2 linked regions of the Drosophila melanogaster genome follow. The protein of the gene in region 1 interacts with the protein of each later gene in a pairwise test. Each region holds a gene or a part of one and is shown in the gene's direction. Other genes may lie near its edges.

What was found.
Region 2: the proteins of tn (region 1) and mib2 interact in a two-hybrid assay, tested with the Drosophila melanogaster proteins (one study listed by BioGRID).

Annotation. Positions count from the first base shown.
Region 1 is NT_033778.4:18,982,996-18,992,716, forward strand, and holds the start of tn (thin), read left to right. Parts: upstream 1-4,348; 5' UTR 4,349-4,696; intron 4,697-6,388; exon of another isoform or gene 6,389-6,693; intron 6,694-6,780; 5' UTR 6,781-6,871; intron 6,872-8,041; exon of another isoform or gene 8,042-8,338; intron 8,339-9,721.
Region 2 is NT_033779.5:19,032,712-19,045,445, forward strand, and holds mib2 (mind bomb 2), read left to right. Parts: upstream 1-1,745; 5' UTR 1,746-2,289; intron 2,290-2,788; exon of another isoform or gene 2,789-2,986; intron 2,987-3,049; 5' UTR 3,050-3,087; coding exon 3,088-3,154; intron 3,155-5,092; coding exon 5,093-5,260; intron 5,261-5,373; coding exon 5,374-6,043; intron 6,044-6,104; coding exon 6,105-6,267; intron 6,268-6,329; coding exon 6,330-8,411; 3' UTR 8,412-8,830; downstream 8,831-12,734. Other genes in the region: hook, read right to left, coding at 1-497, 553-669; CG31800 (uncharacterized protein), read right to left, coding at 1,028-1,219, 1,278-1,439, 1,494-1,651, 1,709-1,745; Catsup (catecholamines up), read left to right, coding at 9,235-9,613, 9,669-10,639; Ttc19 (tetratricopeptide repeat domain 19), read right to left, coding at 10,909-11,172, 11,225-11,372, 11,443-11,606, 11,659-12,192.

The DNA of each region.
Region 1 (9,721 bases):
CCTCGATAATTTGATAAAAAGGTAATAAAATAATCAGGTTTTTAAAGAAATATGTACATTTTTTTTATGATTATATGATATGATTTATTTTTACATTATTTAATATTTTTAATAAAAACGTACAAAGATATTTTTAAAATTATAATTACCATTGCTCTTTATCGCTTAAATCCAAAGGTCAGTCATTTATTGCTATTTGTTAAAATTATTTAAAACGAAATCAATTAAATTTTGGGAAATCCAAGACTATGCAATGTTCAACTTATTGAAGTTGGACCGTACTTGCGGAATGACCTTTCGGGTTCAGCTTGCGAGAGACTTGAAATGGCTGCTGAGCGACCGTCTTAATGGCAGCTCCGAATGTTGCTAATGTTAATTTAAGAAAATATTCCGACCCGGCCATCTGCGAGTGGATGTGTGTCTGTGTGTGTGTGTGCGTGTGTTGCCTGGAAACACTTGCGGTGCGGCAGCATTTGTGCATTATTATTTGCGGTCAAGTCTTTTGTGGCTTGGCCTTTTAGAATATCCAAACCCCTTTGAAGCCGCAGCAAATGGCAGTGCCAGCAGCGGACTAATTAAAGAAATATTCATTTCAAAATACTTGTAGCTCCGCCGGAAATTGCACACCCTCACACACATTGACACACCGCTTTGGCTTCTCAATATGTGTGTATATGCGTTAGTGTGTGTGTGGTTGTGTGACGTGCATGAGGCAATCAATTACGGCGAACCGTTTTGCCAAAAAAAGCGTGTTGCCTACTTTCCGGCGCCCGCGTGTTTGCCAACACAGCAGCACAATTAATTATGTACATTGGGGCCGCTTTTTCCCTTTTTCCCACCATCACTCCCACCATTTTCTCGCCCCTTTCCTTGCTGTTTGCCCAAGTCTGTGTTTGTGCACACAGAGGGAAAATAATTGGCCATATTATATTGTAATTGAGTCAGCCTTTATAGCAACAAAACATATATTAAATTTAAGTATGAAGGTTTAATTGCGATAATTGTTACTCATAAATAACTGCATACAATTGATTCAGTTATCTAAAATTTATTGGTGACATTGAATGGGGGAAATATTTTGCCAACCATGTACACTTATTTATGAAGGAAATCATAAAACTAAAAAAAAAAAGTACTACAGCTATTTTAAAATAAAAAAAAACAACATTTTTTTGTCCCTTAGATTTTTCAAATCATAAGTTATTAAAACTGTGGAAATATAAGATCGATTGGTATTAAATTTCTTGCACTGCACGACAAAATATCGCGGAGGATGAGAGTCATCCTTGAGCTTAGACGACAGCATATGCTCATGCATGCCTAATTACGATAAATCCTTGCCCTTGCCCGTTCTCACTTACCAACTTTCACCCCATCCTATGCCTTTCACATTCACTTTCGCTTTCCCTTTCCCGCTCTCACTTTCACTCTCGAGTCTCGAGAACAAGCGCGCCCAAATGAAGTAGGCAGAAACAAGAAGAACAACAGCAGCGCCACTTCACAAGGATCATTCGCGTGTGAGTGTGTGAGTTTGTGTTTGCCAGGACTCTTTGGATGTAAGAGTGTGTGTAGGCGTTCATAATTATGGCCGTATTTAGAGAAATTGGTTATTATGTGCTTAACGCCATTTGTCTGACTGGAAATAGTTTGTTTTCGGGGGCCCCCTGCTGTTGGACATATCTTTGTGGAGGTGTGCTTAGCCAGTTTCTTAATCCGGAACCACTTAGTAATTTTTATCTTTTAGTAACGTGTTGGAAGCAAAATAAATAATGAAATGGCTTTAAATATTCTTGAAAAGCTTAATGCCTAGAATATTTTTAATAGTTAAATTAAATTGTACCCTTAAAGCTTAAGCGTTTAAATATGTGTGTTTAACATTATACAGGAATTTTTCTGAGCGGAAAACGGTTGGAAAAATGTAGCATAAATTTACAGAATGTAAATTTCACACTAATTCAAGCTTAACAATTTGAATCAATTATTATTTCGCGGAAAGCTTTAATGTCAATATGCTTTAGTTTATAGAAAATATGCATCAATTAAAGAAAAATTAAGCAGTTCATAACGAGTTTAAACATATACAAGGGATTTCTCTGAAAGCGAATCCATTGGCAAAAAAGCTTAAATTCCTAGAAAATGGATTTTCCACAAATTAACTCTCCATAATTCAATTGAAATTTTAATCCCCCAGGAATTCAAGCTTAAGAATCAATTTCAATATTGGGTATATTTTTTTGACTCTCCTTTAAATTTATCAATTTAATACAGCTTATTGCAAGGAAAAGAGATAAGCTTGGTAGCTATTTTCTTTGTAAAACAAAATGGATTAGCTTACTTCAAAAGCCCTTGAACTAAGCTTATTTTCAGGGCCATAATCCCTGGCCGATTTCAATTAAACTTTGCTGTAAAATACCAATCAACTAGCAACTTTTGCGACCACCCTCTTAGTAAGTTGGACTTGGCTAATACTTGAAATTGTCTGCTAATTCGTAATTATTGCTACTTTACCATGTTGCTCCTGCGTTGACTGAATTGGCTGCCCTTTCTTGGGCAATTAGGACGAGGCGCTGGCTGGCAATGCCAAGTGTCCCCTGGTCGAGTGGCTTTCACTGGAGGTTCCGGATTCCCAGCATACGTGTCCATCAATAATGCGTCCTGGCTGCTGGCTCCTGGCTCGCATCGCCGCAGCCATGCCTTCCATTCGTCAATTGGCCATCCATCAGTTCTAATTAATCATGGCTCGGGCCTAATGAGTTGCTCTCAAATATGCTGGGAATGAATAGATGCCACTATTTCGGACGCTCCGCTAATGGAAATGGGTCTTAACTCGTGCTATACAATTGTCGCCGTTCCGATAGCCTTGTTGCAGTGTTCACAATGCAATGTCCGCAATACGCAATTTCAATTTCACGAGAACCAGCAACTGCGCACAAATCCAGCGGTGATTCTCATGCACATGGAAAATATACGAATCCTTAGTTAATTCTTGGAAAGCAGTTTGATAAATTAATTACTTTCAAAGGAACATCGTTAATTAATAATTTTCGTTATATCAGCATCGAATAGGAGGGGCACACACTTTAACTTTTTATTAGTGACATCAAAATATTATATTGATGAAGAGATGCTGTTCGAAACCTAATTATGTATGTTATATATATTCAAAAAATACATTTGGTTACCATTTTAGTAACTTTTTCTCAGCGTGTAATAGAGGATATAGCTGTGGCTATGGCGTTGTCAGTGGGACTGACCTAGAGTCCGTCAACAACTTGAGCTGCCTTGGCGAACGTGTTGACATCTTTGTTTTGGCCCGCTCATAATTCGCATTTTTTCGGTTTGTTTTTGTTTTGACTGCGGCTGCGGCTTTGTTTTAGCTCGCTATTTTTTCCGAAAATATATTAACGGCTAACCCGATTCATCAGCCTATTGACAAGATGTCATGTGGGACAAGCAAATGACCGAACAAAAGACCGAATGTCTGGCGAGGATGGCTAAATGCAGACCAATCATACTGCATGTGATGACGGAGAGGAATTTGGTATTTATAGAATAATAAGCGAAAAATAAGTAATATTAAAGAACTAAATGATTTAAGACAACATAGTAACAAATGTTGATCTTCTTAGGCATATTATTAATATATATTACGTAAACAAGTGCTTAGAAACAGAACTTAATAAATTAAGATGAAATAAATATTAATAATTCAATGACAAATCTTAAGCGTATATATTTTATTATGATGTCTAGAGTAAAAAACCTACCTATCTCTAAATCATTTGTCTTTCTGTTAACACTTTTAATTATGCTGAATTCTATAACTACATAAAACTCGCGCGATATTTGCTAAGACATCAATTTCCTTATTCTATATAAGTATCAATATTTCTATAAATATTTAAAAAAATTCGAAAATGAATCATTCTGCCAGATAAATGCGTGGGCGTCGATCTTTTCCTCAGCTTTTCTTTCCGCTGGACTAAAGAAAAGTGAAAATCTCACTCTAATAACTGCGAAATAAGCCAGAACAATAACAGGTAAGAATACGTATTGAACAATATATTGTCGCTCTTGGACTTTCTGCGCGACATTGTAAAAAGCGAGAGGAATTCTTACAGACAATTATGGTACATATATTATATTATATGTATATATGTATATAATTCTTGCACAGGTTCGTTGGGGTCGGGTGAAGCTGGGAAACAACAAAAGTGCTACGTGAAAGTGGGAAGAAGACGCAGAAATATTTGTGGCACTTTTGTTGTTGCCTCAGGTTATATTTATAAAATTTCACCTCAAGAACGGCTGATCATCAAGCGTTCGAGAGTCGAGCAGAGAAAAACATTCATTTTCATTTCTGGCACGCTCGCGAGTGGACGTGCGGACCGATACGCCGATAATAGCTATAGCCCAGTTCGATTCCCAACCACCTATATCCATATATATATATCTATTAAGTGTATATAGAGGGGTGCAAAGATCTACCCAAAGATCTTTCACCTGTCGCGCAGTGCGTGAGGGTGCGTCCAAAAGCACCAGTAATCGCGACGCGAGTGTTGGTTTGAGCCAAGGCGGTAATACATCGTACCTCAGTTTGAAAGTGAAGTCAGTGAAAGTCCTTGTGCCGCCAAGGCATGCGAATAAATTTGCAAAAGTTTCGCGAAGCATCAGGAAATAGAGGAAGCCAACGCAAGTGAGTCGAACGGGGTGGATACGTCCTGATTTTAAGCTCGTTTTTGGAAACGCATTCAAATGGAGATGAGCTCGACGCATTCAATGGCTGCTGATTATGTAAAAAAAAGAAGAGAGAAAACGGCGAAAGGCGTGAGAATCTCGGCGAGAGAAGGAGCTTGGGAAAATGTCACCTGGCTGAAAATTGCGCTTTCTCAACATCCCACCGTGTGCACACTCCCACATTCGTGAAAAGCTGTCAAAATTATTTTCATCTCCTTCGGCTTCGCGTTCAAAATTTATTAACAAATTTTGACATAATCATGTATACAAATATATGTTGATGAGGATCTGTTATACGCTATATTACGTGTGTGTGTGTGTGTGTGTGTGTGTGCATATCTCATCAGAAAGCATGGCAATAATTTGCCCACACTCACACACACAGGCACGCACACAGAGACGCACATTGCTCATACGCCGTGTTGCTGCCTTATTTTTAGTTCGATTCAATCAGCGACATTTTCAGAGATTTTCTATTTCCATTTCTGTTGTTTGTGTTTGTCTTTTGCCCGCTGCTCGCTTATCATTGATTGCTTTGTTTGCTTTTGTTTCGGTTTCGGTTTTGCTTTTGCTTGTTCCTTCTCCCATTCTCGCCATCCATTTGGAATGTTTGTGGTGGGCTTTCTCGTATTTATTTTTATATTCACACCTCTCACACAAAACAATTAATTTCTCGTTTCGAAATATAAAAATAAAAATAATACGGAAGATTAAGTGAGAGAGGCGTGTGCGGTTTAAATTTATGTGCCGCCGGAAAGTAGGCAACAGTTTTTTCCAGTTTTCCTTTTAGCTTTATTGCGAGCACTCGCCTCTTTTCAATTCACTTCATCTGCCCTCCAACCCCATCCCTCCTCCGCTCTTTTCGAGTGTGCTTCAGCTGGGCGGAAGTTCAAGGTCGCTGGCAGCATTAAAGAAGTGCCATTGCAGCACGCTGGCAATAGATATCCACCTAAACTAGTTTTGATTCGAATTTACTGGCCACTTTTGCAACTTAAATTAAAAACTGCTCGAAAGTAGCGCGTTGGCAACTTTAAAGTAAATGTATTGCTTATGATTTCTTAGTGTTGTCTCATTTTCTTTATCCATTCATTTAAAGGTATTTTAAAAACTACATAAAGTTGTACACCTTTTTGTTGAAAAGTTTTTGTTTCAACAGACAAATAGCATTTATATTACCAAAATCTAATATGGAAAAATATTCCAAATGTTTCCGAGCTATTGAAGTTTTTAAGTCACTTGTTTTAAGTCAACTTGTTGGTTGCTGAAATCTGTATTATGTTTAAATATTGCTATATTCAAAAGCTTAGTGATTGCAAATAAAACCAATCTGCAATAATACTAAAAACGAAATCATCATAAAATGTATGAATTGATGTATAATTTTTCATGCCACATTTTACTGTATCATTTTAGTAACGCAATGAAGCTCCGAATTGTGCTCATTAAAGAAAATTAATTATAAGGGATATCAATGCAATTGTGTGAACAATTAATTTCTATTAAATTCCCTTTACGCGTTCGATGCTCAAAAGACCGCCGATGTAATCATGTTATTATAGTTTCGGAAATTGGTTTTCCATTGTTTAATTGTTTCCTTTGGTCGAAAGGAACTCGGCCACGGCAAGTTAATTAAAAAGATCTACCTTCGCAGCCATATGCTCGACCCCAGCTGATTATTCATTAACCTGGTCAAGAGTGTGTGGCCCACCGAGGAGCTTATCTGTCGCAGTGCACAATAAGCGAACCTTAAGCGCATTCCGAACTTCATTATCTTCGACTGTCAACCGCGCCCAATCGAATCCCATTCAATACTATCCAATCCCATCCAATCCCATGCCATCCAATGAATTCCAACTTTCACCACCCGCCTTCATCATTGTTTTGCGTGCCGCAGCCTTTGAGGCCGTATAATTAAGTTGGCATGATGCGGCTTATGCGCAGCGTGTTAATGGCCAGGTAAATGGCTACTCGACCCTCACTCCCCACAATTCACTCACAATTGCCTTTGGCTCTAAATTTAATATATTTTCTTTTTAATTTCAGCCAGCAGAGTTAACAGCCAAAGGAACAGGCCCCTTTCAAGGGCGCCTCGGATACCCAAGTAGACAATAAGAAGAAAACAACACTTGGAAACGTAAGTTATCACCGCTGAAATTGGAACGTCACAATACTTTGTAGTTTCTATAGTATTCCTTTGGGAGTGCAGCTAAAATTTCAAAAAGTTTCGATTGCATCTGCTTCTCCCGTCTGCTCCGTTTATTTATAGCCCAAAAATACAGTGCAGTTTTCATTTCTTTATTTGTTTTTCTTTTTGGCCTAGGAGTGCAGACTGCAGTCTGTGAATTCCGGGCTAGTGAGTTCTATTTTCGGCATATTCCCATAGGGAGATAGAATGATATATACAGAGCTAGAGGAGCGAAGTTCTGACCTTGAGAAGCATGCACAGAAAAAAAAACTGCGAAACTGGATAGAATTATTTTGGTAAAAGTAACAAATGTTTGTGTAGGGAACTTAACCTACTTACTTACCGAATGCAATTATATGTAGTTAATAGATACAGATAGATATTTTGAACATGTTTGAGAAAAAGCTTAATTGTAACTTTTAGGGACAACTTTTTGAATGGAATATGAAATTTTAGTTCGTATTGCAGCAAACTAATGGTTTACTGCTACTTAAGTTAAGGGAAAACTTCTAATGGAAGTAGAAACTTTTCACTTGGCACAGAGAAATGTTCCACTAGTTTGACGGAACAGCGAATTCGAGCGATGTTCGCTCCAATTTTCAATGAAATTTATTTTTAGGGCCCGTTACAGCGAGATACACAAAAGCACACAAATAGCCCAGCAATGAGATATAGATGGAAAATGCCGGCGTGCGTCCGAATGAGAAAATCAGCTCAGTTGATGACGTCAAGAGTGTGCGTGCATGTATTCGTACTAAATGGAGGAAAATCTTTTCGGTTAATCCAATAAGTAGCCGATGTCCAGGTTCGAGGCGAGAAATGGGAACTCCATTTGGAAGTAACATGCAGTGCGAAGTACTCATTTGTATCTTTGTATCTTATTAATGGCGCTGCAGCCAAACTGTAGATAAAGATACATACGCACGATGCCAAGAATATATTTTTGCGTTTGTGTCTGACGATCGCGCATTTTGTTTTGTTTCGCTCTCTGGCGATATATAGACGGTATATATCTGCAGATACACAGCGAAATCGGGAGAGAATGCCGCGGATTGTATATATATTTAAAATATTGTAGACTGTTGCTCAGCTCGTGTGCTTGGCAATTTTCACTTGCCATCAGTCGCTTTTTACATTTCCAATCGAATTCTACTAGGCGTGTTGCCCAGCAAAAACTGAAAAAAAATATAAGAAAAAAATCTAAACGACACCGTACCGAATTAGATATATTGAAATTAAAGTAAGGCGAACGGAAATCGATTGTACTCATTAAATGAAAGTGCCCAAAAACGAGTTGAAAAGGACTGAATTATAAGGATTCTCGCATTGCCAAAACCAATTGCATTTTATGATTGCCTTCGAGTGCCGCTTTGACAGCAACAGCAAGGATTGCCAAATAGTTTCCCATTTCAATTGGTAAGTTGGTGAGGTTTCTATGTATTTCAATTTTTTTTTTTTTTGGTTGGTGATTTCTGCTCAGTTTTGGCTGACCCAAATTTCATCGAATTCATTTCAATTTAGTTGTGTTGATTTCAATTTTCAGTGCTTTGCGTTGATGATTTTCTGTCACCAACTGTCAGCAGCGCGAAAAGTTTGACCCATTTTAGTTTTTCACATTTGGCAAAAAACTCTCCCAGGGTCAAGTGATTCGTTTCCGTTTCCCGTTCGCCATTTACTGTTTCCTGCCGCATAACTCGACTTAATTTTAACCCCCGCCAAGGTTAATGATTTTCTCGTGCTCTTTTTTCTGTAAACAAAACATTGAACAACTGTCGCCGTCAATTTGGCGTTTGAATGAAAGCAAAGAGCCGTGGGGAAATTCAAAGGAAACCAGAAAACACAGATTTCAGCTTCAAGAGCATTTAACATTTTCACGGATAATTGGTTTGGTATTTCTGAAAATCGCTCACACAGCCCGCGAATGCATTCACCACTATATATACACATAAATATGTATGCGTATAAGTGTATATATGTATTAACGGACCCAGCTGAATGACCTACCCACCCTTTAAATGAAAATGTAAAACGGGGTGGTTGGATTTTGGTAGTTATGCCGCCTTCTGGTGGCTTTCATTATGCTGGCGAGCAGCGTTCGCTATTCATTTTAATCCTTTCAGCAGCGATTCACAAATGCAATGGCTAAATTAGTTTCGCCACACACACACACACACACACACACAGTGCACTTCGCTCGAAACCAGAAAAAGGACCTACACTTTCTAATAGGACCACCAGTTTTGCCTTTATTTACCACGCACAATTTGCGAGAACGACAGAATTTCTATTCAATTTGATTTTAAGCGCATTTTCCAGTTAATTGCACTTTGTTCGCATATGTCCATAAGCTCATACATATATCCACTTTTTGCGATAGCTTCATTGTGAACTTTTGGCCGCATTAAATGGATGCTTTAAATATCCGAAACCAAACCGAGCCAAACACGACAATAATGGCAAACAGGCGCACGACAATTAGCGGTGGGCATCATGGACATCACGGTACCGATTCCATGGCTATATCCTCATCCGCCCACACTCTCAGTTTATTTACGAGCAGGAAGTGCGCATTGGTGCGCGTTTTTGTGCGCGACACACGCGGCGTATACGCGATGCATATTGCCAGCAACGGCGAAATCGTATTTATATTTATACTATACTTCATATACGCGGCTGCTGCCTGCTTTTCTTCCCTCTTAATACGAAATGTGTGTCATTTTTATTATTAAAATCTCAACTGCGGCCAGCAATGATCCCTTTTCCAAATGTGAGAAAGCTATTGCAGAGTGCTGAAAAAAT
Region 2 (12,734 bases), on another chromosome or scaffold:
AGGAGCATTTTCTTTTCCGTCTCGAAGCATTTTTGTGCCAGGGCGTCGCGATCCTCCTGAACTGCCTTGCTGTCCAGGAGTCCTGTGCGAGAGCCACGGGACAAGGAACTGGCTACACCGCCCTCCGGCGTGGATGCTTGCCTAGTGGCCTCAAGTTCCTGAAGGGCGCGCATAATGTTTGCTTGCAGTTCCTCCTCCAGACACATGATCTCTGTGATGTAGGACTGCTTCTCTGCACAGTTCACGGCGCAACCAAGGACCAACTGCAGCAGACGCTCCAGCTCTCCCAAGTCGCACTTCTCAGCGATCCTCTGCAGATCAGGCTTCGAGAAATCACTCAGCGAGTAGTTCAGTACGTCGCTGTAGTAGTCGTACACGGACTGGGTCACCTTTTTAAGATTGCTCATCCGCAATCGCCAGTTGCTGCCCACGGCACTGGCCTTGATCTTGGAAAGCCAAGCGTCGGTGAAGGATTCGGGGGCGAACTGGTTAAGAGCCTGTGAATAAAGGAGCTATTAAATATTGATGAACTATATATGTATATATAGTTACCTGAGCCAGTGCCACTCCGTCAGCTAAGGATTCCGCATCCGCATGCGGGGCATTTAGATTGAGGGTCTTGAACCACTCCAGCAAGCTATAGTACATCTCGTTCTTGGGCGCGGACATGTTGCAGGTGTGAACGAAACGCTAAACGAAACAAAACAAACTAAAAATATGCACAATTTCACAAAAAAAGAGCTCTCAGCTGTTGCACTAAAAACCAAAACATACATCGAACTGCACGACAGCTATCGAAAGCCATTGAGATGCACTTTCTCTATCGATAGAAAATATCGTTATTTATTATTTATCATGTTTACAAAATTAAACAGGAATTAAATATGTATGTTTATAAAAATATAAATGTTAATATTTAAATTAAAATTAATACATTTTACCCTAGAGCTTTTATAATTTTAATATCAGTAACATCGAAGTTTGGGTACAACCTCATGTTAATAAAAATAATTTTTAATATATTCTGTCAATCATTGCTTATATTAAAGTCAATTGCCATGGCCGAACCACGCCCACCATCTAGTGCCTTTAGCATGCACTGCTCCGCCCACTTTAGCTTCTCATCCTGCTCCTTAATCTTGTCCAGTGGGGTCCAGCTCAAATCGTACTCCAACCTGTAGCTGCCTTTGAATGTTTGGTCAACGGAGAGACTCCATTCCTGAAAGTGTACATCCATTAATAATGCGATTTTAGAATTATTTTCAAACAAAACGTACTTCCGGTGATAGCATGCTGAAATAGTTTTGACCCGATGGCCTTTGATAAAGATGATAGATGTGTCCGGGTTTTTTGGTGAAATTGCAGGCCGCACTGTGCAGATCTCGGTTGAGAGTGGACTCCTTAAGTATCTCCATCGCTTGGGCCTGAAGCATTTTGATCTATGAAAGATTTATTAGTTTGTATTATAATTGTTAAAGAGGAGTATAGCTTACCTGCTCCATTATGACCCCCAGCTTTTGGCAAGTTGTGTTTTTCAATTGTTTATCAGCATTCTGAATTTGTTGGGCCAATTCGATGATATCCTCCTCCTGGTGCATGGACACACGCATGGGGTTTATCTGCAACTGGGGATTCCTCTCAACCAGTTGGGCTAAAAAATACAATATTTATTTGTTTACCTCTCAGTAGTTATATCATAGAAGCGTACCCTTTTTTACAGCTGTCTGATACGTCAATTCGTCCATTTCGGCCGCTCTTTTCATCACACGCTACCGAACATGAATACAAATAAGTAATCACTCCGCGATTGACAACTATGTAAATTTATGGACTGCCAAAAATAAAATAATAACATGTGTTCTTTATAGCTGGTATATCTCCTCCAGTCATCGTTTTCCCTAGGTGTTATCGATCACTATCGAATAGATGTCATATTGCACGGCCGTCTCTAGATAGAAAGAAGAAGCACACTAAATTGTAGTTTTATTTAATAGTTCTAGCGAAATAGTGAATTTTGGCCATTTAACTAAAAAATTGTAATGTCCAGGCGAAATTGACCATAAGTGCGGTATCTGTGTGTTAAATAGTGCGGAAATTAGATCGCGTGCGAGTGAACTATGCCCTTTTTGGCAACCAGAGCAACGGTGTCACTGCATTTTAGCGAAAGGAAACACTAAATGCCCATTAAAAAGCGCACGCGCGTATAAAATGCACCATTAAAGGCTTGAGAACTTTAAGTTTTTCATTGCGAACAGCTGGAGCTAAGCGACAGTATCACAAATTGCATTGGTAAGCCCAAAAAAAAATCCAAACCAAGCCCCCAATAATCGCTTTTCACATACTCAATTTTGCATAAGTATATATTTGTAAAATATATACACATACGTATATATATGTGTGCGATGGCAAAACGGGCGTGAGTGTGAGTGTGTGCTTGGACTTTCGTAAACAACACATGCGGGTCGATTCCTTGAATGACTTCGCTGCTTGACCAAGAAGTCACAGGCACTTGGCTTTTGTCAGCGGGACGATGAGAAATCCGTATCGAAATTGAAATCGGAGGTTCAGACGGTGCATATATACATATATCCGTCTTATCGGCATGCGTCATGCGAGCTTCTGGGCTGCACCCACACCACAAAACCTCGGACTGCCAGAAACCGAAGCGCTGGCGATCGGGAAACATATCTGGCATTTGAATGGCATTTCCTCCCCCGACACCCCATAAATGATGCGAAGGGTTAACAAAGAAATCTCAAGAGTTTTAATACAGAAATCTCTAGAAAATTTTAATTCTGCTTAAGTATTTTGTGAAGAGTACAATTTCTTGCTTAGAATTAAGCCACTGCAATGTTTTAAAACATGCTCATAGAGACCCTTCCATGCTTGAGCCTACAAAGACTTCTGAGATGACCCCGATATGCTCCTCTCCTTTTGAGTCATGCGCTGACGGGGCCGCCATTTAGTTGACCCAATTATCAGCCAGGTCCCATCAAACGCCGTGCCCCGAGTATTGTCAAATGTCACATTTATGCTATCCTCCTTGCAGGCTGAATCGGATTACACAAATTGAGCCAACCAAACGCCATGCGAGCCTCCATTCCGCCCGGCATTCGAGTGGTGCGCGGACCCAACTGGATCTGGTCGAATCAAGGTAAGAACGCATTCAGGCAGCCACGGGCCAGCTTGTTTACTTTCACCCACCTCCAAAGAGGCGAATTAACTTGCCATCCGCTCTCTGTTTATAGATACGGGTGTTTTTGTTATATAGTTCAGATCGAAATTTGCGTACGGTAGAGATTAGGCGGTGGGGATGTCGCCAACTTAGGCATTCAATTTCGGTAAAACCCATACTTAGTCATACGTTCTCCGATTAAAAGGGCTTTACAATGGGATTATTACTTCTGTTTAAACTCCAATATCTGTCCTTAAAAAAAATCATGTTTATAATTTATTAAGCTGATTTTATCCGCATATTTTGGATTTGATAGCGTAATAATAATAAGCAATATCTTAAATAAACATTTTTATACCTCTTACGATCGATCAATATTTGATCAAATTTAATCTACTGATACTTTAATTTTTGTTATAATATGTATGTAGAAAAGACATGATAAATAATGAATATATGGCATAAAGGGAATCACTTCGTGGCCAATACTTACTGTATACGCCAAACGCAACTCACTTGGCATTGGCACCCGTAGAGGGTCCGTTGAGAGTGTGCGAGTGCGGAGGGGTGTGGGGCAATGGGACGGGATGGGACGGAGAGGTGTACGTCCGTGTCCGCTGCTGCTGCTCGGGGCGTTGTTGAATGTAAAGAGGACGCGCCCGCTATTTTTAGCAACACTCACTGCGGCAGCAGTGAAATTCTTGCGCTTACCAATTGCTTCTGCTTTCGTCGCTTCGTTTTATGGTTCATATACATACATATGTACATATATATGGCGGGGATGTGTGGCTCTCGATGGTACGTACATATATAGTACGCCACCCTACGTGGCAGGTAAATACATATGCACATACATACGTCCGTAGGCAGCTGCCCGCCAAACAATAATATTGCGTAGTTTTTAATTGAATTAATTGTCTTTCGCTGGAACAAATTCGTAACGTATTACAAACAATTAGATGATGAGGCTTATATCGTTTCGAAAGCTTGATAAACCGACTGTATTATATGTGCCATGAAAAGAGATTAGAACTCAAAACCTCAAAAATGAAAGGAATGTAGAACACTATAATTTTCAATTACATTTTGATAGTTGCAAATGAATATTACCAAGAGAGAACATTTCTTCAGATACACTTCAAAAACAATTTGAATCATTTTGTGGAAGTTAAACCAATCACCAAAGCCTAATTTGATAATAAACGCAGTAATGTTTAAGCCTATTGAAGGATCCTATTAAAGCAGCTGCACACGTTTAGGATTAGGTCATGGTATGTGTTCCCCCCTCCCCAAGTCGCCCTATTCCAGCCTGTGCAGCGAATGCATATGCACATGTCAGGCGCTAGGGCGCGTGCCATTTTGTCTCCAACCTTTTTTTGAGTGTTTATTTTTAGTTACACGGGTGGGGATCGCGAGCAGTTACACAGCTCCAGCCGGCCTGATATTTGGGGACGATGTGGAGAGTTTATTTTTGGACCTTGGTATTCCTCCGACTGGGGTGTGTTGAAAATAGACATAAACAAATTTTCAGATGGGAGCCCAGCCATCGGTGCTCCCATTCCTCCCCAGGCCAACATCAAATGTCACCCTCTAGAGAACGATTCCACATCCACACCCGTGATACGGGGTAATTATAGAGCAGCTGCACGCCCGAGTCCGAGTGCATAACAAAAATCCGCTTGGAGCCCGAGCCCGAGTCAATGATTATGGGTATTTATAGTCACGGCGCGTTGTTTATGAGGGGGAAGTGTGCGCTCTGCATATGTCTGATATCCACCGGATGTGGATGTGGGGATGGTGATGCCGATGTACACACAATGCAGCCCTAGGAGCATCCTTGTGGCAGCTCTATAGCTCTATAGCTTCTCCAACTCACATCACGTCACTCTCGACTTTGTTTCATTGCTTACGCAACAGACGACGGAGAAGGTCACGTTGGAACCGTTTGCGAAATCGGACGTTGCGGATCGACACATTCGCCAGAAAACACTGTCGTGGTCAACTGGGATTCCGGACACCGGACCAACTACCGTGTGGGCTACCAAAACCAGTACGACTTGATAATTGTAGATAATGCTCAAGTTGGTAAGTGACGATATTTAAGAAATCTATTCAATTAGTTAATTTTAATTTTCCAAATTACAATTATTTATAGTTCATTGTTTATAAGGTCTTATATTCGAATTCTTTTTTCGCAGGAGTTCGTCACTCAAATGTTGTCTGCGATGGCTGTTCCAAGGCGGGTATCGCTGGCATAGTATTCAAGTGCGCCCAGTGTCCCAACTATCACCTATGCGCCTATTGCTACGCAGAGGATCTGCACGATATTGAGCACCCGTTTATCCGCTACACGACTCCCAACTCGCTGGGCGTGAGATTGCCCATGAGAAAAGGTGCCAAGCGCATCCAGCTGCGAGGCATCTTTGTGGGTTCCAAAGTAGTGCGCGGTCCTGACTGGGAGTGGAACGAACAGGACGGCGGAGAAGGCAGGACGGGTCGGGTAATGGAAATCCGAGGCTGGGACAACGAATCGTGTCGCAGCGTGGCCAACGTAGCGTGGGTAACCGGATCGACGAACGTCTACCGTCTAGGTCACAAGGGAAACGTTGACCTCAAGTACATTACTGCCACGTGCGGTGGTCACTACTATAAGGACCACATGCCTGTTCTAGGTCAGACAGAGGAGTTGCAGCCGGTGGCGCCCATGGTGAAGCCAAGCTTTTCCGTGGGCGACCGCGTCAAGGTTTGCCTAGAGGTTGACGCCCTAATGAAATTGCAGCAGGGCCATGGCGGATGGAATCCGCGCATGGTCGAGCATTTGTCCAAACTGGGCACAGTACACCGCATCACGGACAAGGGGGATATACGGTGAGAATATATAATTTGGTTGATTTTATTTGGATTTCTAACACAGTCGAAACCCAAACAGTGTTCAGTATGAAAACTGTCCCAATCGATGGACCTTTCATCCCGCCGCACTCGTTAAGGTTGTCTCTTTTCGTGTCGGTGACCTGGTCACCATCATCAACGATGCCAACAAAGTGCAGCAGCTGCAGAAGGGTCACGGCGAATGGATAGAAATCATGCGACACGTGAGTATTCAGATTATGTTAAATCTTTTTTGAGAGTATTCTTTAAAAAAAATGTTTTTCAGGCCCTTGGAAAAATTTGCAAGGTAGTGAAGGTGTACTCGGACGGTGACCTCCGCATCCAGCAGTTGGACGACGGCTTCGAGTGGACCCTGAATCCGAAATGTGTCAAACTAGAGCGTTCTCCTTTGGCAACAGCAGCTGAGCGCTCTAACAGTATGATGGACCTAAGCCACCGACGCGCTGACCATGTAATGACACCGCTCTCTGGCCTCTCCGGTAGTTCGGTTGCCGACAAGCTGGTGCGCGAGGCTGCCCAGGGCCATTTGGATTTCGTGCGGCAGTACCTGGACGTGAATCCCAGCCAGGTGGATGTGATGAGTGGCGGCAAGGCTTGTATTCAGGTGGCCTCTCATCAGGGCTACGTCGATCTTGTCAGCTACCTCATCTCCAAGGGTGCCAACGTGAATGCGGTCGACAAGGAAGGTGATTCAGCTCTGCACTACGCAGCCTTCGGCAATCAGCCGGCCACCATGAGAGTGCTGCTGCAGCACGGTGCTGAGGTGAACTTCCTAAACTCGAGCCACTGCTCTGCACTGCACATCTGCGCGCACAAGAAAACGCCGCACTGTGTGCGTGAGTTGCTGCAGCACAATGCCAACGTAAACATTCAGGATTCGTACGGGGATACGGCGCTTCACGACGCAATCGGCAAAGAGAATACGGAAGTTGTGGAGTTGCTTTGTAATGCTCCGAATCTGGACTTTACGGTTAAGAATAATCGCGGCTTTAACGTGCTACACCATGCAGCGCTTAAAGGAAACGTGGTAGCTGCTCGCCGTATCCTGTTGCTCTCCCGCCAGCTGGTCAATGTGCGCAAAGACGATGGCTTTGCGGCTCTTCATTTGGCAGCCCTTAACGGTCATGCCCAGGTTGTGGAAACGCTGGTCACTGAGGGCCAAGCGGAGTTAGATATACGCAATAATCGCCAACAGACGCCGTTCCTACTGGCCGTCTCCCAGGGCCATGCCGGGGTAATCGAGCGACTCGTTCGCCTCTCCTGCGACGTGAATGCCAAGGATGAGGATGGCGACAATGCGATGCACTTGTGCGTCATTAAGAAGTCCAATCTGCAGTCGGCCGCGGAGCCTCAGCCAGAGGAGGCTCCTGAGATTCACAAGTTTTACCTGAGTCTAGTACACTCGAGCATTCGTCCTGAGGATCGTTTGATGTACAGTATATTGATCTATCTTTCGAGGGCCGGCTGCCGAGTGGAGCTGAACAACGCCAATGCAAGCATTTTTGAGTGGATAACGGACCGCCACATCAGGCAACTGATTTTTGGGCAGCAGGGCGAAGCTGAATCGCTGCCTAGGAATCTTCAAGCTTTGGAAGTGTCCGCAGGATCAGCCGACGGTGAGGAGAGCTCTGCGTCTGCTGGAGCTGAATCCAATGGAGCCGGACCTGGAAGCGTTGCAGCACCCCCACCACCGCAGCGCCAGACATTTGAACTAATGCCAAAGCCAAACGATATCCCAGCCATTGGAGTTGGAGCATCTCCATCCACGCCCTCCGCCTCGCCGGGCGTAAAGAAACTGAACTCCGACGCAACACCGCAAAACGTCTCTCCACAGGTGGCACCGCGCAAGAAGGCGCCCAAGCCTCCGGTTACCACTAGCTCGAGCAGTACCGCGTTGGAAGCCGGAGCGGCGGGACCCAGTACCAGTCCGGTGATCGTCCCCGGTCCCCATGAGTGCATTGTGTGCAATGAGATCCTGCCGATGGTGCGCTTTGAGCCGTGTCAGCATCAGATCGCCTGCGAGGAGTGCGGCATCCGAATGAAAAAGTGTCTCCGCTGTGCCGTGGCGATCGAGCGGCGATTGACGGTCAGCGGCCGAGTGGTGGCCCTGCCCACGTCCACGTCGTCACCTAGTGACCCCACTCGCCTACCGTCCGGGGATCTACTTCGCTATCTGGAGAACAAAGTGCTGGAGTTTGAGGAGTCGCACTTCTGCGGTATTTGCATGGAGCGAAAAAGGGATGTGGCCTTCCTGTGCGGGCACGGCGCGTGCTCCCATTGTGCCGAAACGCTCCGCACATGCCACATGTGTCGCAAGACAATACTCAAGAAGATCAACCTGTACTGAACGGCGGTAACGGAAACGAAAGAAAAGCAAAGGCGGCAGGATCAGCAGCAATTCAAACAGCAACCAAAGTGGCTTGTATATATACATACACAAAACAAACACACACTCACATTGCCGTGTCATGTGCAAATCGAAATTATTATTTATTGATCACAAACGAAATTTACGAGTTCTTTTTTAATCGGTTCATCATCGGCATCGTCGCAACACGCAACAAATTAATGTGCACCTTCTCGTGTCTAGTTATTAGCCCCGTTTAACCATGTCTGGTAACGATAAATACATAGGAAACTAACTAAAGCATACAAATATTTAATAGTCATTTAAATGCAAATATACAAATATAAAATTATTTAATTGAGTGAATTTCAATCGATGTCGGTGGTTAGCCTACAGAAAATAAAGATACTTTATTTCTGAATATGCTGGGGTGACTTTTAATTGTATTGGTATTTAAAAGGTTTAGTTTAAAATTGAATATATAATAAGTTTAGAAAGATTTTAAAACTGAAATGTTGTAACGGCAAAGTGTGAACAAGTTATTTTCTTTCAGTACGCTGCATAAATTTTAAATGTTTTGCATTTTTGTAAGCATTGACTTGGCAAGCTGTCGGATCTTAAGCTCCGTTTAAAAGTTAATGTAAGCAAAAGCGGCAAAGTACAACTTATAATTGAAAATATACACAAGTTTATTTTTTATTTGAGCGAAACAATCGATACCTCCAGATTTACACGCTAATCGATAACAACGTAGCCAGAAAAAAAGCAAACACGTCACAACACTTTGGCCGCAGTCCGACGCGAAACTAAAGTAAAGGACAAAATGGCCAAACAAGTGGCTGATTACCAGTGCAGTAAGCTCCAGTTGTACCAAAAGCTGGCACTGGTCGTAATCCTGGGAGCAGTGCTTTTCTCGCTCCCGGCGTTGTGCGCCGGCCAGGGCAATCCCAGTTTCAAATACTCGCGGGAAGCCAACGAAAACTTCGATCCGCAGAAGGCTCCACGGGCGGAGCACCATCATCATCATGATCATGACCACGATCATGGACACCACCACCACGGGCACGATCATGATCATGACCACGACCACGGGCATGATCATGGACACCATCATCACGGGCACGATCATGATCATGACCACGACCACGGACACCATCATCACGGGCACGATGAAAGGCACACCAAGGCAAAGCCGGATTTGGGTAATCAACGAACTACCACTCTTAAAATGCCCGAGTTGACCCAAATTTCTTATAGATATGAGCACCATTTGGTTGCACTCGATCGGCTCAACTCTTCTTATCAGTGCCGCTCCCTTCGTGCTGCTGTATATCATTCCCCTAGACAACAGTGAGGCGATGAAGCCGCGTCTCAAAGTGCTTCTGGCCTTTGCTTCTGGCGGTTTGTTGGGTGATGCCTTTCTGCACTTGATTCCTCATGCCACGCATCCACACAGTCATGGAGAACACGGCCACGATCACGGCCATGATCACCATCATCATCATGATGGCGAGGAGCATGAACATGGTCACAGCCACGATATGAGCATTGGTCTGTGGGTCCTTGGAGGAATCATTGCCTTCCTTTCAGTGGAGAAACTGGTACGCATTCTAAAGGGCGGTCATGGAGGACACGGCCACAGCCATGGAGCACCAAAGCCAAAACCAGTGCCTGCTAAGAAAAAGTCCTCTGACAAAGAAGACAGCGGAGATGGAGACAAACCGGCAAAGCCAGCCAAGATCAAGTCCAAGAAACCAGAAGCGGAGCCAGAAGGCGAAGTGGAGATTTCCGGCTACTTGAATTTGGCGGCGGACTTTGCTCACAACTTCACCGATGGCCTGGCCATCGGCGCCTCCTATTTGGCGGGCAACAGCATTGGCATTGTGACCACTATCACTATTCTGCTGCACGAAGTGCCCCATGAGATTGGTGACTTTGCCATTCTTATAAAGTCTGGCTGTTCCAGGCGAAAGGCAATGCTTCTGCAGCTCGTCACAGCGCTCGGAGCTTTGGCGGGCACAGCGCTAGCTCTTCTGGGAGCTGGAGGCGGGGACGGATCGGCCCCATGGGTCTTGCCCTTCACAGCCGGCGGTTTTATTTACATCGCAACAGTGAGTGTCCTGCCGGAGCTGCTTGAGGAGTCTACGAAACTGAAACAGTCGCTGAAGGAAATCTTTGCGCTGCTAACCGGCGTAGCCCTAATGATCGTTATCGCCAAGTTCGAGTAATATCAAAATTGTGGAAAGTTAACACAAAAAAGATCTAATTGCATGTACTGAAAGTGTGCCGCAAACAATTTGAAAGATTTCTGTTCGTTACCTACTCAAAACGATGAGCAACTACTTAAATTTCTTATATTTCAACAGTCAGTAACCGCTATTAGTTCCCAATATAAACAATGCGGCGTTATTTAAGATTTTTTAAGCCTTCCAAATTTGTGCTTCACTTCGAAATGAAATTTTTATAAATAGTCAAAATTACACTGTAAAAAGAATCCTCACTGGCGCTTCTCTCCATTCAGGGTTGTCTTTATCTCGTTGAGACAATACTCGGCCTGCTCTACGGCATCGGGATTCTGGTGTTGCTTTCCCAGTTTCCACGCCAGTCGGCAAGCGTTCTCCGCCTGCGACATCAGGCCCTCGCGAAGATACACCAAACCCAGATTTGCCTGCAGAATGCCTTCCTGGGTGGCATCCTTTAGCTCCTTAGTCAGCTCCATGGCCTCCAAAAGGGTCTCCCTTGCCTCGGCGTACTTTTCCAGCTGTAATTAGTCTAATGTGTTTCAAGTACTTTGGAAGAATAGACGCACCTACGTTTACGTACGCCACACTGATGTTATTTAGGATGGTTACAGAGGCGTCGTTAACGGCACCATAAACATTTATGAGCGTGTCGAAGGCCTCCTTAAAGAGGTTTTTAGCCTCCAGGTATTTTCCCTGCTTCATCAGCAGCTGCCCGAACCTGGAAAATAAACATAAGGAAAAGTATTGAAAAAAGGCTTGGTTAGCGGCAATGGAAACACCTTCAATACCAATTCTTTGTCAAGCCATACAGCTCCAGTATGTCCTTGTCGTCGGGCATTTTCTCCAGTAGCTTAGCCAACTGCTGCAAGGTCCAAGTGAACCCTTGAAAGCTCTTTTCCAGATCCCCTTGCAGCTGAGACATGTGTGCTATCTTGGAGCTGATGTGAAGTATCTAAAGATGAAAGAGATCTTAACTGGTTATGGTGTCTAAGTGGGTCACCCACCTTGGGACTCTCTTCGGTGTGACCCTCGGCAAAAAGCCGTTTCATAACGTCCGTGAATATCTTCTCCGCCTTCTTAAACTGCTCGCGTTCCATGGCCAAATTGGCCATCAGATCAAACACATATGTGATGCCGTCCTTGCTCTGAATATCCTGCGCCATTCGCAGAGCCAGGTGAAGCATTTGCTCGGCCTTGTCGTACTGTTCCCTCTGAATGCACAGGATTGATCGTTTGATGGTCTTGATCAGTTTTTCCTCCGGAGTTTCCTCTTTTTCGTCGGCGCCACCAAACAGATTCAGAGTGAAAGCAGCGGAAAATGCCCAAAACATTCCACCGGAAGAGCCAGAAGCGGGCGGAGCTGCCCAGGACACCTCGTAGCCCGCAGCATTGGAGCACAGCGGTCGACATCCGAATTCTGACCGTTGGTGATAACGGCTTCTCTTCAGCGGCGCAAGATGACAGTAATCTCTGGGATTCACGACAACGCGGAACCTGCCCATAACTTGCGTAAACTTGCAAATATTTCTCACTAACATGTTTAGGGCTTTATTAATTATTTAACTAAAACCTATAATGTTGCAGGTATGGTATTAAAAATTATGAAATAGCACGTATGTAGTGTTGCAAAGCGCGGTAAAGACGTTTTAAAAGTACATTTCGTAACGCTTGATTAAGAACATAGAAGACTTTTAAATAATTTCTACTCTATCATACTTTCGCAAATATATTTATGTTTCGTTAAGATTTCGTAAACAAAGGTTTTTAAATTTTTTAGAGATGACACTGTCAAACAAAACTTTATCGGCAACTTTGGTACCTAACATTTCGTTCATAAGTTAAATCTGCGAACAAAAATAAATTGATAAGTAGAGTTATTAACAATCTCGAATAAAAAACATTTAAGTACATTTGATAAAGTTTTTCGTAATAAGGTACTTCCTTCCCCCATCGCATACGATACTATCGATAGCCGTCAGCGGGGCGATAGACCGAGAGAAAGCATCCCTGTATATTGATGGCGGATTGACGCTCTTTCGCCTAGTAAAATTATTTTTCTTATCAAGAAAAGGTGCAGAAT